Linked DNA regions of Drosophila melanogaster. The protein of the gene in region 3 interacts with the protein of the main gene of each other region in a pairwise test. Each region holds a gene or a part of one and is shown on either strand. Other genes may lie near its edges.

Region 1 (3,860 bases), on a different chromosome or scaffold from region 3:
CAAGGTCAGTTAATAAAGTTGATTTTTGCTCAATACGCAATAGCGCAAAAATGTGCAAATAAAAAATATAAACACTAACAAGTGGCAAGCGAAAATACAAAAGACAACAAGCGGCAATTAAAAAAGAACCTTTCATGAAGTTGTTTTTGTGATCTCTCAAGATCGCGTTAAATAAAAACTTATCAAATGCACAATATTATGATAAAATGTGGTAATAAAACATAAATGATGTTGGCAATGATTAAATTTACTTCTCTATAAATCAAAAAGAACATAAAATGAGCATTTGGTTTGTATTATAAAGTCTCTAAATCTATTCGAGCGAACGATACCATATTTTCATAGTTTGCGATACTCATAAGATCACATTGGAAAACAAGTGTATGATTTCCCTTGCACACTTGCTGTCAATTGAATTGAACGTTCTGCCATTTTGCAACTTTCTTATAGAGAACATGGCCGTATCATTCCCTATTTCCGCCACTGTACTGACTGTTTTGTATTTTGTATGGTAATTGAAAACTGCGCATTCATTGATGACGGATGACGTCGCAGCTTTGACAGTGGCATTGAAAATTTCAGTTTCGCAAGCAGACTGCAGTAAACTGGTGACCAGTCGGCAGCAACAACAACAATGATAATGAATGCAGGAAGAACAAGAACAAGAAGACTACAATAACGATACTATATACCATGTATGTACATATATATATATATATATATATATAACAAAGGAACTGAATGGCCGGCATGAATTTCACTTAATAATGTGTTGCCCGAAAAACGTTTTTTTCCTCTGCATCTATGGAATTTCATCTTTCAAATAACTCATCTTGAATCTTAAATCAATTATGCGGATAGCATGTTTTCCCTGACTTTTATGCGTAATTTCAACGAAGAATTTGAATTCTCTCACGGAATAAATGTTAGTATATTCAGTGTAAATGAAAAATACGCAAATATCTATTATAGCGCTATCTATGTATCTATGAATCTGTATCTACAGATCGTTGCAATTGTTGATATTACTTCCGCCAGGTGGCGTTTTCCCCACCGCCAGTTAACTGCATTCATGGTTTCTGTTTTCCGCACACTTATTTATTTGGCCGCACTGATTAGAGACTGGAATCACAATAATAATAACCAAAACAAATGGCAGCACGTGCTTAGCATCTGGTTTGTTGTGATAAAGTGCGACTTTTCCCAGCCCACCCACACCTATGCCGCTTTCTACCCTTTCTCCGCTCGCCACACGTGCTTGCTAGTCAGCTAACCAGCTAGCTAGTTAGTCAGCTAGCCGCTAGCTAGTTAGATACTTAGTTAGCCAGCCAGTTGGCTGCGTCAGCGTCGCAATTGCGCCGCAATTGGGCACTAATGAAGTATTCTTGATACGCATTTACACTGCATTGGGCAAAGGGAGAAAGAAGGTGCGAAAGGTGAGCAAGGTGCGAAAGCTGCCAACTGAGGTGCTGATTACCCATCGCTATGGCAGCCATTTATCCTGCAGGACAATGGGAAATGGGAAAGCTGGAAAAGCGCTGGTGGAAAAGTATGGGCAACCACTCAGCTCAATTAAAAAATCGTTAAAGGGCAAACAATTGCTTTTCCGTTTCACAAATACGTTCTAGCTCTTTTAGACGGTAAGTTAAGGGGTTCCCATCATCAATTAAACTGATACTATGCGAAAGTACTAGAAAGCCAGCCAACTGTAAAGAATCGCAAAATACCCTGAAATATGTATATATTCTATGGAATATCTAGTAGTTTTGAAAGCAGCAGCCTGAGTCGCTTTCCTCAAATTCCGGATTCAAAATGTATATATTTCCACCATATACCCTGCTCCTTATCATCCTCCGCATTGTGAGTGTCCGTGCGATGAGCTTCGACCAGCCCCACAACGAACACGACGCCTCCCTGGCTAGCTATTTGGACAACACCAACGATGACATATCTCCCCAGGGCTTCAACGGCGATGGGAATGGTAGTTCGGGGGCCACAGTGGTGCCATTCCCTTATCTGGGATGCACCACAAGACCGTCCTACCAATCTGGATGTGAAAGCATGGACGAAAGCGCTAGGGACCGAGAAAAAGATCGCAATATTGATCGGGATCGAGGCCGAGATTGGGATCGAAATAGGGGTTGCGATAGAAACAGGGATCGGGACAAAGACAGGAATAATATTAGAGATAGGGACAACTGTGACTCCTGTGACGAGATTATCAATTCGCGGCTGAAGGCCACCCACATTGCCCAGAATGCCGCCCAGGTGGCCAAGGCAGCCAATGATGCACAGGCGGCCGCCGCTCAAGATGCATCGCGGCAGGCGAAGATGCAGCTGGCGGAAAAGGCCATCTCCGCTGCCCGTGCCGCCGATGCGGTGCTCGAGGGCAAACAGGCAATGGTGGACAACTACGCTAGGGAGATCCGGGATGCCGAGGAGGTGGTCGGACAGGTGAGCTGCTCGCTGCAGAACAGTGAGACGAACGTGGAGGCCTCCTGTGCCGTGGTCAAAGCAGCGGAGGTTCAAGCCGAAACATTCAGGTATAATTGATAAATATTCAATATTCAATATTGTTCACAATCCATCCAACTATCTACACAATTTAAAAGCGGAACAATTATATCGTTATATCTATCATAATATCTACCAGCGATAACATATCGATTTTTAATATCAATGCTTTTTCGATTACTAATGTTTTCAGGGCCCTCGTACAGCAGACGAGTGGCATTTTGTCGGAAATGGACAGCCTAATCGACCAGTCGAACATGGATATCGAGGAGAAGAACCAAATGCTGGCGGCGGCGAAGGCACGTGGTGACCGCCTGGCCCGCCAGGTGGCGCAAGCTAAGTCGGAGTACGAGCAGGTGAAGGAGGCGGCCTGTCGCGCCGCATCCGCCGCCGTGGAGGCCAAGCAAAAGGTCGGCACCGGCAGTTTGCTGTACAAGTCGTCGGTTCACCGCCTACCCACTGTCGCCATAAGGGCCAATGGAGCGCGCGGTTACGCACTCGACAGGAACACCTGCAATGCTCTCCTGGATCTCTACAGGCAGCGCCGACGGCAGCAACAGCGAATGCGGCGGGAGAAAATCCTGAACGGACTGGATCGCTATCAAGGGAATTCACTGTACGGGGATCACTCGTACTAACAAATGCGCTCCCTACTAACGGATGCTACGTCCACAATTCTGTTTTTCTAAACGCTGCAAATTATTTTAACTCTATTTGGATAAGAGTTTCGAGATTTTTCAACAATTTCAGTTTCACTTTTTGAGCGTAAATATGAAGTATTACCTAAATGCGAGTTGTATAATCCTTGTTTTCTTGTTAATTTATTTCCTACTTTTAAGATCGTACTAAATAGCTTGCACATATCATTACAAATCATTAATGTATTGTCAGTTATGTACATATTAAAGATCTTCCCCGTATCGAGTGACCACCGTAGCTGCTTCAATACACAATTGTTTACCAACAAATTCGCCTGACAGTGTCGTAATTCTTGCGAAATAAACAATAACAATGGGAAATGAGTGCAAGGCCAAGACGCAACGAAACACGATCGCAAAGAGGAGAAGGAGAGTGGGAGGGGGAATAGAGAAGGAGATAGTGTGGAAAAGCCATCTTGTCCAGCGGAAGAACGAATGAAAATCACAGCTGCCAATGCGAGGCTGCCAGCTGTTTGGATTTTTCCTCCTTTTCCCTTATGTATTTGTTTTTTGGAAAAATTGTGGGCGGTTGGGTGTAAAAAGTGCAACGCAAGCAGGGTTGCCACCTTTTGCGGCTCTGTTGCGTCGTTGTTTTTATTGCTATTTTGGCGTCGCTTCATGGAACTCGAAACGGAAGAGAGTGAGAAG
Region 2 (3,106 bases), on a different chromosome or scaffold from region 3:
ATCGAAATGCGGTCACACTAGACAGCTGATTTTTTCCAACTGGAAGATTTGCTTTGCACACTGGACAAAGGAAATGTCCCATTTGTCGGCTTATCCAGCATATACGTCAGTCTAAACATGGAGAAAAGCTGCAGTATTGGCAACGGACGGGAGCAATACGGCTGGGGACATGGCGAACAATGCGGCACGCAGTTCCTTGAATGTGTCTACAGGAACGCGTCCATGTACTCTGTTCTGGGCGATCTGATCACATACGTGGTGTTCCTGGGGGCTACGTGCTACGCAATACTTTTCGGCTTCCGACTGTTGCTGTCCTGCGTGCGAATCGTCCTCAAAGTGGTTATCGCCCTCTTCGTCATCCGATTGCTGCTAGCTTTGGGCTCCGTCGACATCACATCTGTTAGCTATTCCGGGTGAAGTGACCAATCTGGCGAATGCCATCGGGACCACGGCCTTTAAACTACATTAACTAAATCAAATATAAATTCCAAATTGAAGAACACTGTAAATTACATTAAACGGTTTGTCATTAATTCCTTTGTTAAAGAGCACTTGCCAACATTAAAGCATAATATTTTATTTAATTAACCCAACAGAACAATTGCTGACTCTTAACATGATCAGCTAACTATCTCAATTGAAATGTTGATTAAACAAAAAATTTAAGCTTTAATTTCGTCATGGTAAGTTGATGGTATTCATTTATCCTCACACCACTCGTTCTCCTTGCGCACCTGTTCCTCCTCCTGTGGCAGAAAGTCATTCTGGATGGCGAAGGTGTCGCGAATAGCCTGCGGCGACTTGCCCTTGATCATATTGGCCACCGTCTTGCAGGTGACGTCGAGCAGACCCTGGATATTCAGGTAGTTTGCCGCGAGGATCAGTTCGAACAGCGTGCCCTGGTCGACTTTGAGAAAGTCAGCGTCCCAGGATGAGATGTCATCAGTGCGCTTCTCCTTGTTCTCAACCTCTTCGGTAACCACAGGATCGTCCTTGTGATAGGTGGCCCAGTGGAGCACTTTCTTCAGGATCAGCGAGTTGACATTCGGCAACGGCAGCACACTGTTGTCGCTCTCATCGCCCAAATCCTCTATTGCAATGCGAATCGTTTCCGAGCACTTGGCGATCTCCTGATCCGTGTCAAAGATCTCCTTGTCCGCAGACTCCAGCCGAATGATGGGCATCTCTGCGTAAAAATTTTTATTTTTGCTTATATCTATATTTTCAATTTTATTCGTACACACCTCCTGCTGATTTGGATCCCAAGATTTGATACGAAATCGGTTTGATTTATTTGCAGACGCAGCCAAACAAAATTTTTAGACACAACACGATGTCACTTAGCTGTGGCCTACTGGCTAAAAATAATATTCCCTTGCCTTCAACTTGAACCGGACTGGTGCGGCGGCCGCCTGAGAACAGAGCGTTTGTTAAATAAAGAACTTGGCTGCCAATAATTCCCCGGATTCTTAGAAAACTAGAACGTCGTACGATTTGAAGAGGAAATTTGTTAGTGAAACGGCCGCCAGTGTGCACATACTCGGAATGGCTTTAAAAGATGGCGCCTATTACAGTTAATGGTGTGGAGACACTGTGACAGCTAGCGGTAAACAAAAGCTCAGTTATATTTTTTTATAATGTATATATATATATTTTTTTTAAACATATATATTTTGGCACAATTCAAGCGTGCTGGGCGTTGTATTATTTAAACAGAAACCTACAAAATTCTGCCTTTATAGTTAGTTTTTATCCTGTTTTTATTTAATGAATTTCAAATTTCAAATATTTTTGTAAACAATTTTAAGCTAGGCCAAGGGTTTGTGTCGCGGCTAGTGCAAGCAGTCAACTTGCGGCATTTTTTAGTACATTTCCCTCTGTGCTGGGTTATATATTCGCAGGCTATACTCCACACTGCTTCCAGCGGAATCGTCAAAAAAATAACATTAAAATCGCCGTGTGCATAATTAGAATATTTCCGAATAGTAATCGCCCGTGAAATCGCTAATTAGCGGTCAGCACTTGCGCCAGTTAAAGAAATCGCGGCACCGGCAGTGGGCCAAAAGAACATTTTTTCCGGCTGAAAAAAACAGGCGGCGGCGTCGACACGCGGACCGAACCAAAGGATCCGAAGCCATCCGATCAGATCTAATCCGATCCGGAGAAAATTCCAGGACACTAAGGACTTCCGAAACTACCCCGCACAAGAGATGGACGTGTACGACGTGAGCGATGATCTGATAAAGAAGCTGCAGGACTGGAAACTAATCGGCATCATATCCGGCAAGTTCAACGAGCTGAAGGAGAACCATCGCAAGGTTGACTTCGTGATGCGCGCTCTTATTGACTTCAAGTACATTGAAAAGATATTCCTGAATGTAACGCTTCGAGAGGACAAGTGCAACAAGCGGAGCGTGGAGTTCCGTATGCTGGGCAACGAGCAGTTTTCGCTCAAGAACAGGAATTACTTCCAGGTAATCATTGCCCCCTCAATCGGCAAACTTAAGCTAATCCCTGCGACTCGTTTCAGGCTCTAGAGCTGTACAACAAAAGCATCTGTTATGCCGAACCGAATTCGGAGCACCTGTCCATCGGCTATGCTAATCGGTCGGCGGTACTATTCGAGTGGAAGCGCTATCGGCAATGCCTGGACAATATCAAGCTGGCAAGGCAGGCCAACTATCCGGCGAGACTGAGCCACAAACTAGACAAGCGAGAAAGGGACTGCCAACAGCTACTCGATCAGCAACCGCCGGATGTGGTGCCCTATGAGTTCAAGCTCAGTTTCGAACCGCATGCCCAGGTGCCCTTCATCGCCGACTGTTTGGAGTTGCGCGAAACCGCCGCCGAGGGTCGCTTTGTGGTGACCAATCGGGATTTGGCCGTTGGGGATCTTGTGTCCGTGGAGGAGCCCTTCTGCTCCACACTGCTGACGCCGATGCGATACATTCGGTGTGCCACCTGCAAGCGGGAGAACTATCTGACCCTCATACCCTGCGACAGCTGCTGTTCCACGATGTTCTGCTCCGAGGAGTGCAAGTCGATTGCCATGCAAACCTATCACCGCTACGAGTGCCCCATCATTGACTTTCTGAACCGCATGTTC
Region 3 (6,436 bases):
GTGCGTGTGTGTGCGAAGGGAGTGTATACACATACATATGAATATCACACATTTCACCGGAAAATGCGGTCAATTAGAATAATACATACAGCGAATTGAGCCTGTGTCTGTGAATTAGTGAATGAATTGAACAAAGCATTGAAAATCAATACGAAACCTGCCGCCGCTCCCACTTTTGTACATACAGTAATGCGTCGGTGAAGTAATACTCGATTGCGGGAAATCTGGAACATATACTAAGTTCAATCATTTGAAATTGGTTAGATTATTAATTTAAATAATTGCCTAAAGAGCTTCAAGGATGTTATTTTCAATTAGATTACTTATTTGAGGGTCCACTGTATATCCGCGCTCGCACATTACTGTGAAGCCTCACCTGTGTGAGTGCGGCTTATAGGCGACGTGTGTGTGTGTGTCTGAGAGAGGCTCGTGGAATATAAACAGCGCACAGTGAGAGAGGAAAACGGAAAACAGGTGGAAAAGAAAGCTTAAAAAATGCGGTCGGTCAAAAACTAAAGTTGCAGCAACAGGCGAGGGGGTGGCGGGTGCCGGGGGGCTCGAGACACGGAGACAAATACCTTTTCAAGCCGCACACACCAGCGCAAGCAAAGACGTCAGCTTATCTGCCACGCATGCGCGCGAGGGGGACGACAATAGTGTGGATCGGGGTGTCGATGTCTCTCCACCCCCCTCCAGCCCACCACCATCTAACGAGCGGGTTTCCACCCAAAGAACAGCAAAAACAACTATTGTCATTTGTTGTTTTGCCATTTGCTTCGTAAACCAAAAAGTATGCGAGATAAAATAAAAAAGCAAGTGTACCGCACGCCGCCGTTTTATCTAAATCCCAGCTGTCTGAATTATTTGAGGCTCTAACACCCCATCTCACGCTTATCAGGACCCAATTAATTATCTTCACCTGAATGGAAGCTATGCTTGGGGCATGTCTCCAGGTTTATGGTTCTTGTCGGGGAGTTCTTAGATACCAGTGCAGTTATGTATCTTAGATTGCCTTACCGAGGCTTATAATTTTCCCCTATTTACAGATGCATAGATACATATGTGTGGATTGCAAATATTTCAAGATTATAGAAGTACAAAAGTAGTAATACTTATATTATAAACATATATGTATTTCATTTAGCATAATGTTTTTGTAGATGTTTATGATGACTTAACTTAACTTCAAATCACCCAGCAGCTTTAGTACTTTCTCTAAAGCATGATTTATGCAAGCCCAACTATTTCCATGTTACCCAAGTGCGATAATGTTTATCGCGTTTCGTCATTGGCCTCTAAGCTGCTGTAGAGTTAGGAGCGAAAACACAAATCTGTCAAATTCCACAAGTGTGATGCAATTTGGGGCTTGTACGAACAGTAAAACGCTGAAATATAACACAGCGGCGCAACTTAACGAAAACAAAACATTTCCAGGGGTGTAGTGGGTCAGTGTTTTCTTTTTTACGTGCACTTCGCTTGTTTGTTTACTGCGATTTTGGCTTGTACAAGATCGTAAGCAGATAGTGCCTCCAGCTGACCCCCTCTGCAGTTTCTCTTTCACCTGTTTGCAAGTACACAAGCACCCAACACCCCCTTTCCCCTGTCCATTGACCCTGCGACACTGCTGGATTGATACACTGAAAACAATCGACAAACTTGGGGGTGTTTCTATCATGGAAAATGTTGTTAACATTTAAAAATGGTTAGAACTACATTCTAGAGACTTTCTCGCCATAGGATTATTATAATGATTTTCAATATCTTTATAAAAACAGTAGCGATTTTTGCTTAGTGTAGATAGGTATGCGACACCGCTGCCCGCGTCGCAGTCGGCGTCTGAGCCCAGCCTAAAACAGCGGAAAAGTTGTTGCTGTCACTTGAGTCGAGGGAGCGGTTTGGATAGAGTCTGCGAGGGTTAGAGCGAGAGGGAGCGAGAAAGTGTGTTTGCAAATCTCAGTTTTACGTGTGTGTGTGTGTCTTTTGCAGGTGTGTTCACTGGCTACACAGAAAAAATAAGAGAGATTTATCCGAGTGTTGAAAAGAATGTTACTGTGACATAGAACCATAGTTGGCCTAATTTTTGAAGATAAGAGCTATTACTCTACAATTACTCTCTATTACATCTACAATGCAATACAATTTGCTGCTGTTAATACAAATAAGATGAATATAATCGGAAGTAAACTATCCAAAGATATTCTCTGTGTAGTCAAAGTGGAGACACCGAGCTTAGAGGAGAACCTGGGGAAGTGGAAGTAGCGCGATTTTTGAATTCCAATGCTGATCCAAGCCAACAACGAAATGTTAAAGTTTGAGAATAATTGCGGCCATGTGCGGATCGCTTGGAGTGTGTATGCCAACGCTAGTGGAGGCTTGGAATCGGAATGCGGTCTGAGTCAGAGACGATTGGCTGCGCAATATCCAAGTGGCTTGGCGGGATTAGGGGCCTTCGGATGCAGAGGGACTTAGTCTCAGCTGCACAAAATAAACACAGCATAATGATCTAACACATACTTTAGGACCAATTTTCGTATTCGACACTCATAAGATTTCAGCTCGAAGACTCGGTCAGCGGAGGCTTTAAGGTCTTGAGAGACCAAATTGGGAACCAGACTTCCAAGGGGCTTAACCACACCCCTGCCAATAGGAAATTTAGTTTTGGGAATACTATTCTAATCAAGTTAAACATGTTTTTCGACAGCAGTCACGATATAATGTTTTAGTCATTGGAATAAGCGATTAAATGGGATTATTAAAAGCATACACATAATTCTAAATATTATTTTCAAATGACGATAGTTCAACTCGACCTAAGAAGCAAAAGTATAAGTTGGTAACGATCAAAACTTTTAATCAATGTTTAAGCTACTAAGTTCATCATTTAAACGGTAACTTATATTTTAAACGAATCAAAGACCGATATACAAAATTGTTGACGATGATGATGATGTGAAAAAATTTTATTTTTAGACGGAGCTTCAGACGTCGATCGAAGCCTGTACCGGGATTGGGAGACACCATGGTGAACCACCACTCGAACGGAGGCGGCAGTGCTGGAAACAGTAGCGGAAGCCTAAGAGGAGGCGGTGCCCATGGAGGCGGCGGCGGAGGAGGAGACTATTCCGGAGACGATCGCAGCGGAGGCGGCGAGGAGCGGGAGCGTCTGGAGAGTGACTTGCACGACAAGCCCACCTACCTGCTGGAACACCTGGCCACCTTCACGGTCAACAAGGAGTCCGGCATTGTGTATCCGGCGGACGGAATGCGTCGCCTCCTTCAGCTGGAGAAGACCACGGGTATTTGGTCGCAGAAGATGCAGCTCTGCCTGGACTATCAGTGGGTGCTAATTATGGACTATGAAACAGGGGTACGTTTCACAAACTGGGAAAGATCCTTATGGAACTCATCTTCATCCTTGCCTTACAGAACATAATCGAAAGATTCCCCGCCTCCTTGGTTCAGGAGCCCACCGCATTCACCTCGAATGACGCCATGGAGCTATACAACAACATTCTGGTCTTTATCGTATCCGGAGGCGGTGGTTCTCGCTCCGAGATGCACATATTCCAGGTGAGAATTAGTGAGGCTTCTGTCTCATGACAGTTTCATTCAAATGATTTATCCCTGCAGTCACAAAGTGTGTCCGCCGTTCACCTGGTTGAGGATCTGAAGCAGCTGAGAAGCGGCAAGATGATAACGCAGCAGCGCGGTGCCACACCCACTCAATCAGGAGGCGGAGGAGCCTCCAGCATGGCCATGATGATGAGCAAAACCTCCTCGTCCTCGTCGCATAGTAGAGTGGAGCTGCACCAGCACAGGGAGCAGCGGGCAGAGCGCGAGAGGGAGCGTGATCGAGACCGTGAGCGCGAAAGCCACCATCACATGCACCAAAGGAGCAGCATGGAACAGTATGGAATCCGTGCCGGAGTAGGAGTTTCTGGCGATGACGTTGCCCACATTAGTGGCGAGACGGATTCGGAACACGGTGGGATTGGGGGCGGTGGCGCAACGGAGCGCGATGAGACTAGCTCCACGTCCAGCGAGAAGTACGAGCGGGATGTGGCTGTGCTGAATCACTGTTTCGATGACATCGAGAAGTTCATAGCTCGTCTTCAGCACGCCGCCGCCGCTTCCCGGGAGCTCGAGCGCCGTCGTCGCAATCGGAAGTCGAAGAAAAGGGATCCGGGGGAGGGATTGCTCACTTTGAGGACACGGCCTCCCCACGAGAAGGAGTTCGTGGACATCTTTGCCAAGTTTAAGCTGTCATTTAACCTGCTGGCAAAGTTGAAGGCGCACATCCACGATCCCAACGCTCCCGAACTGGTGCATTTCCTCTTCACGCCGCTGGCTCTGATTGTGGAGGCCTCCAGCGACACGTACTACGAGTCACAGCTACCGGCCCGTGTGGTTAATCCCCTGCTGACCAGAGAGGCCATCAACCTGCTCATCAACTGTGTAACCAGCAAGGAAACGGAGCTGTGGCGCTCGTTGGGCGATGCCTGGGTGATCCCGCGAGATCAGTGGAAGGATGACGTTGGATCCTACCATCCGGTCTTCCTCGATGGCTGGTCACCGGACTATTTGATCAACGATGAACTGGAGCCACCACCAAATTCCCCGCCCGCTCATGTGAGCAAGCGCAGACTCGAGGTCCAGGCTGGATCCGGACTAAATGGTCGTGGGGGAGGCGGATACGATGACTACGACTCGGGGAACGGGATGAACATGGCCATGGGTATCGAGAAGTACACCATCCACCACGGCAACGACGGTTTAAGGGAGCGGGAAAGGGAGCGCGACAGAGAGCGGGCGGGCGCAATCAGTGCGTCTGACTTTAACGCCCGCAGCGAGCTGTCGTTCGACTCGATCGAAGGCAGGGGCGGCGGAGCAGCGGGACATGGCCATGGTCATGGCCACGGACCAGGAGCTGGACCAACCCTTAGCGCCATCACAGCTGGTCTGCAGAATCTGCATACGAGGGAATCTCGCAGTGGAAACGGGTACGGAGCAGGAGCTGGTCCGGGGCCTTCGTCGGAGTTGGGCGGTGGAGGCAGAGGCCTGCCGAATGTCAGCGACGACCAGATGCTCGAGTCCTGGCTGGAGGATCTGCAGGCGACGGGCGCTAAGATTGTGCTGGTCACCTATCCGCGAACCGCCAACAACGACAAGGAGCTTAGCGTGATGCGAGGCGAATACTTGGAGGTAAGGCCAGCACCCACGTTACCATCCTTCGTTCTGTCCTATAACCATCTCTTCGAAACTTTAGATCCTTGATGATACCCGAAAGTGGTGGAAGGCGCGCAACATGCGGGGTCAGGTGGCCCACGTGCCGCACACGATTGTAACCCCCTTCAATTTCGGGGATGGAGATGGAGCCCAGTTCTACGGGCAACAGCAGCAGCCACCGACGGGTCCCACAGGTCCGGGCAACAAATCGCGATCAGGGGTGAGTAAGGCTGGTCACTCAATTCATGATGGGACTTGCTAACCGCTCTACATTACCCAGGATAATCCCGGCATGGAACAGCGATCGCCGGATCCCACCGACATGATGCGCAGCAAGCATCTGGGCAAGAAGGGCGAGTTCCGCTACTTCTAGGATCGAGATGCGATCACCATATACATATACACATATTCCGTAGTGAGGATCTAGCGTTATAGAGAGACAGACATCAGCAGTTCCGTCTAGGATGCTAGTCCTGGTCACTAGCGATCGGATTGGCTCCAATACCTTGCACTCGCTCGCAGGAGTGTGCAAACCAGAACTAACCTTAAGACTAACCTAAGTGGAGCTCCAGACGGGAGCTGTTGAGCAGCACGTGGCTCCTGCTGAGGCGGATGCTTAAGCTGATGCTCATCCAGGCGAAAAGGGGAGGCGACGGCAATAATTTGTTTTAATAAAATTATATCCAAAGGAACCTGCCTATTGGTTGATGATTATTGAGGAGATTGTAGTTTGGAGAGCTGCTTTGCTTTATTTGGATGCTCACAAGAAGAAGTTAACTGGTGCTGTACGGTGATCAAAGCCAACGATTGAACAAAGAGCATACTACGAGAACTCGAATCGATTAAATGATGGACAACTTCTCCACGCGGGCCAGAAGCGGAGAATCGGAGTGGTACTCCAGGCTCCGCACGGCGAAGTCGCCCACTTCGTTGGTGAAGCACTTCAGAGTGGATATGGAGAAGGGGCGTCCGGGAAAGTTGTAGTAGGTGAAGTACTGCCCGTTGACGGCGATCAGGAAAGCCCGATCCCCGAGCCCAAAAGCGATCTTGAAGAGCTTTCCGCGCACAAATGGGAATTCGCCCTCGGTCTCCTCGTCGCTCAAGGCAAAACTAGAATAAGTGAGTAAAGGTGAATTCTCTTGGAGGAACTTTGCATATTGGAGTCTCGGACTCCTTTATACCTGTTGTCTTCACGCTGGTAGCTGCGTGA

The links.
Region 1: the proteins of aru (region 3) and CG12985 interact in a two-hybrid assay, tested with the Drosophila melanogaster proteins (one large-scale study listed by BioGRID).
Region 2: the proteins of aru (region 3) and SkpB interact in a two-hybrid assay, tested with the Drosophila melanogaster proteins (one large-scale study listed by BioGRID).

Annotation. Positions count from the first base shown.
Region 1 is NC_004354.4:17,881,933-17,885,792, forward strand, and holds CG12985 (uncharacterized protein), read left to right. Parts: upstream 1-1,785; 5' UTR 1,786-1,875; coding exon 1,876-2,543; intron 2,544-2,707; coding exon 2,708-3,152; 3' UTR 3,153-3,306; downstream 3,307-3,860.
Region 2 is NT_033778.4:12,138,741-12,141,846, forward strand, and holds SkpB (SKP1-related B), read right to left. Parts: upstream 1,490-3,106; 5' UTR 1,245-1,489; intron 1,187-1,244; 5' UTR 1,185-1,186; coding exon 699-1,184; 3' UTR 555-698; downstream 1-554. Other genes in the region: CG18343 (uncharacterized protein), read left to right, coding at 118-417; Smyd4-4 (SET and MYND domain containing, class 4, member 4), read left to right, coding at 2,211-2,474, 2,531-3,106.
Region 3 is NT_033779.5:861,329-867,764, reverse strand, and holds aru (arouser), read left to right. Parts: upstream 1-1,903; 5' UTR 1,904-1,938; intron 1,939-2,704; 5' UTR 2,705-2,856; coding exon 2,857-2,888; intron 2,889-2,970; coding exon 2,971-3,367; intron 3,368-3,426; coding exon 3,427-3,570; intron 3,571-3,630; coding exon 3,631-5,202; intron 5,203-5,266; coding exon 5,267-5,446; intron 5,447-5,506; coding exon 5,507-5,599; 3' UTR 5,600-5,916; downstream 5,917-6,436. Other genes in the region: CG13950 (uncharacterized protein), read right to left, coding at 6,069-6,336, 6,408-6,436.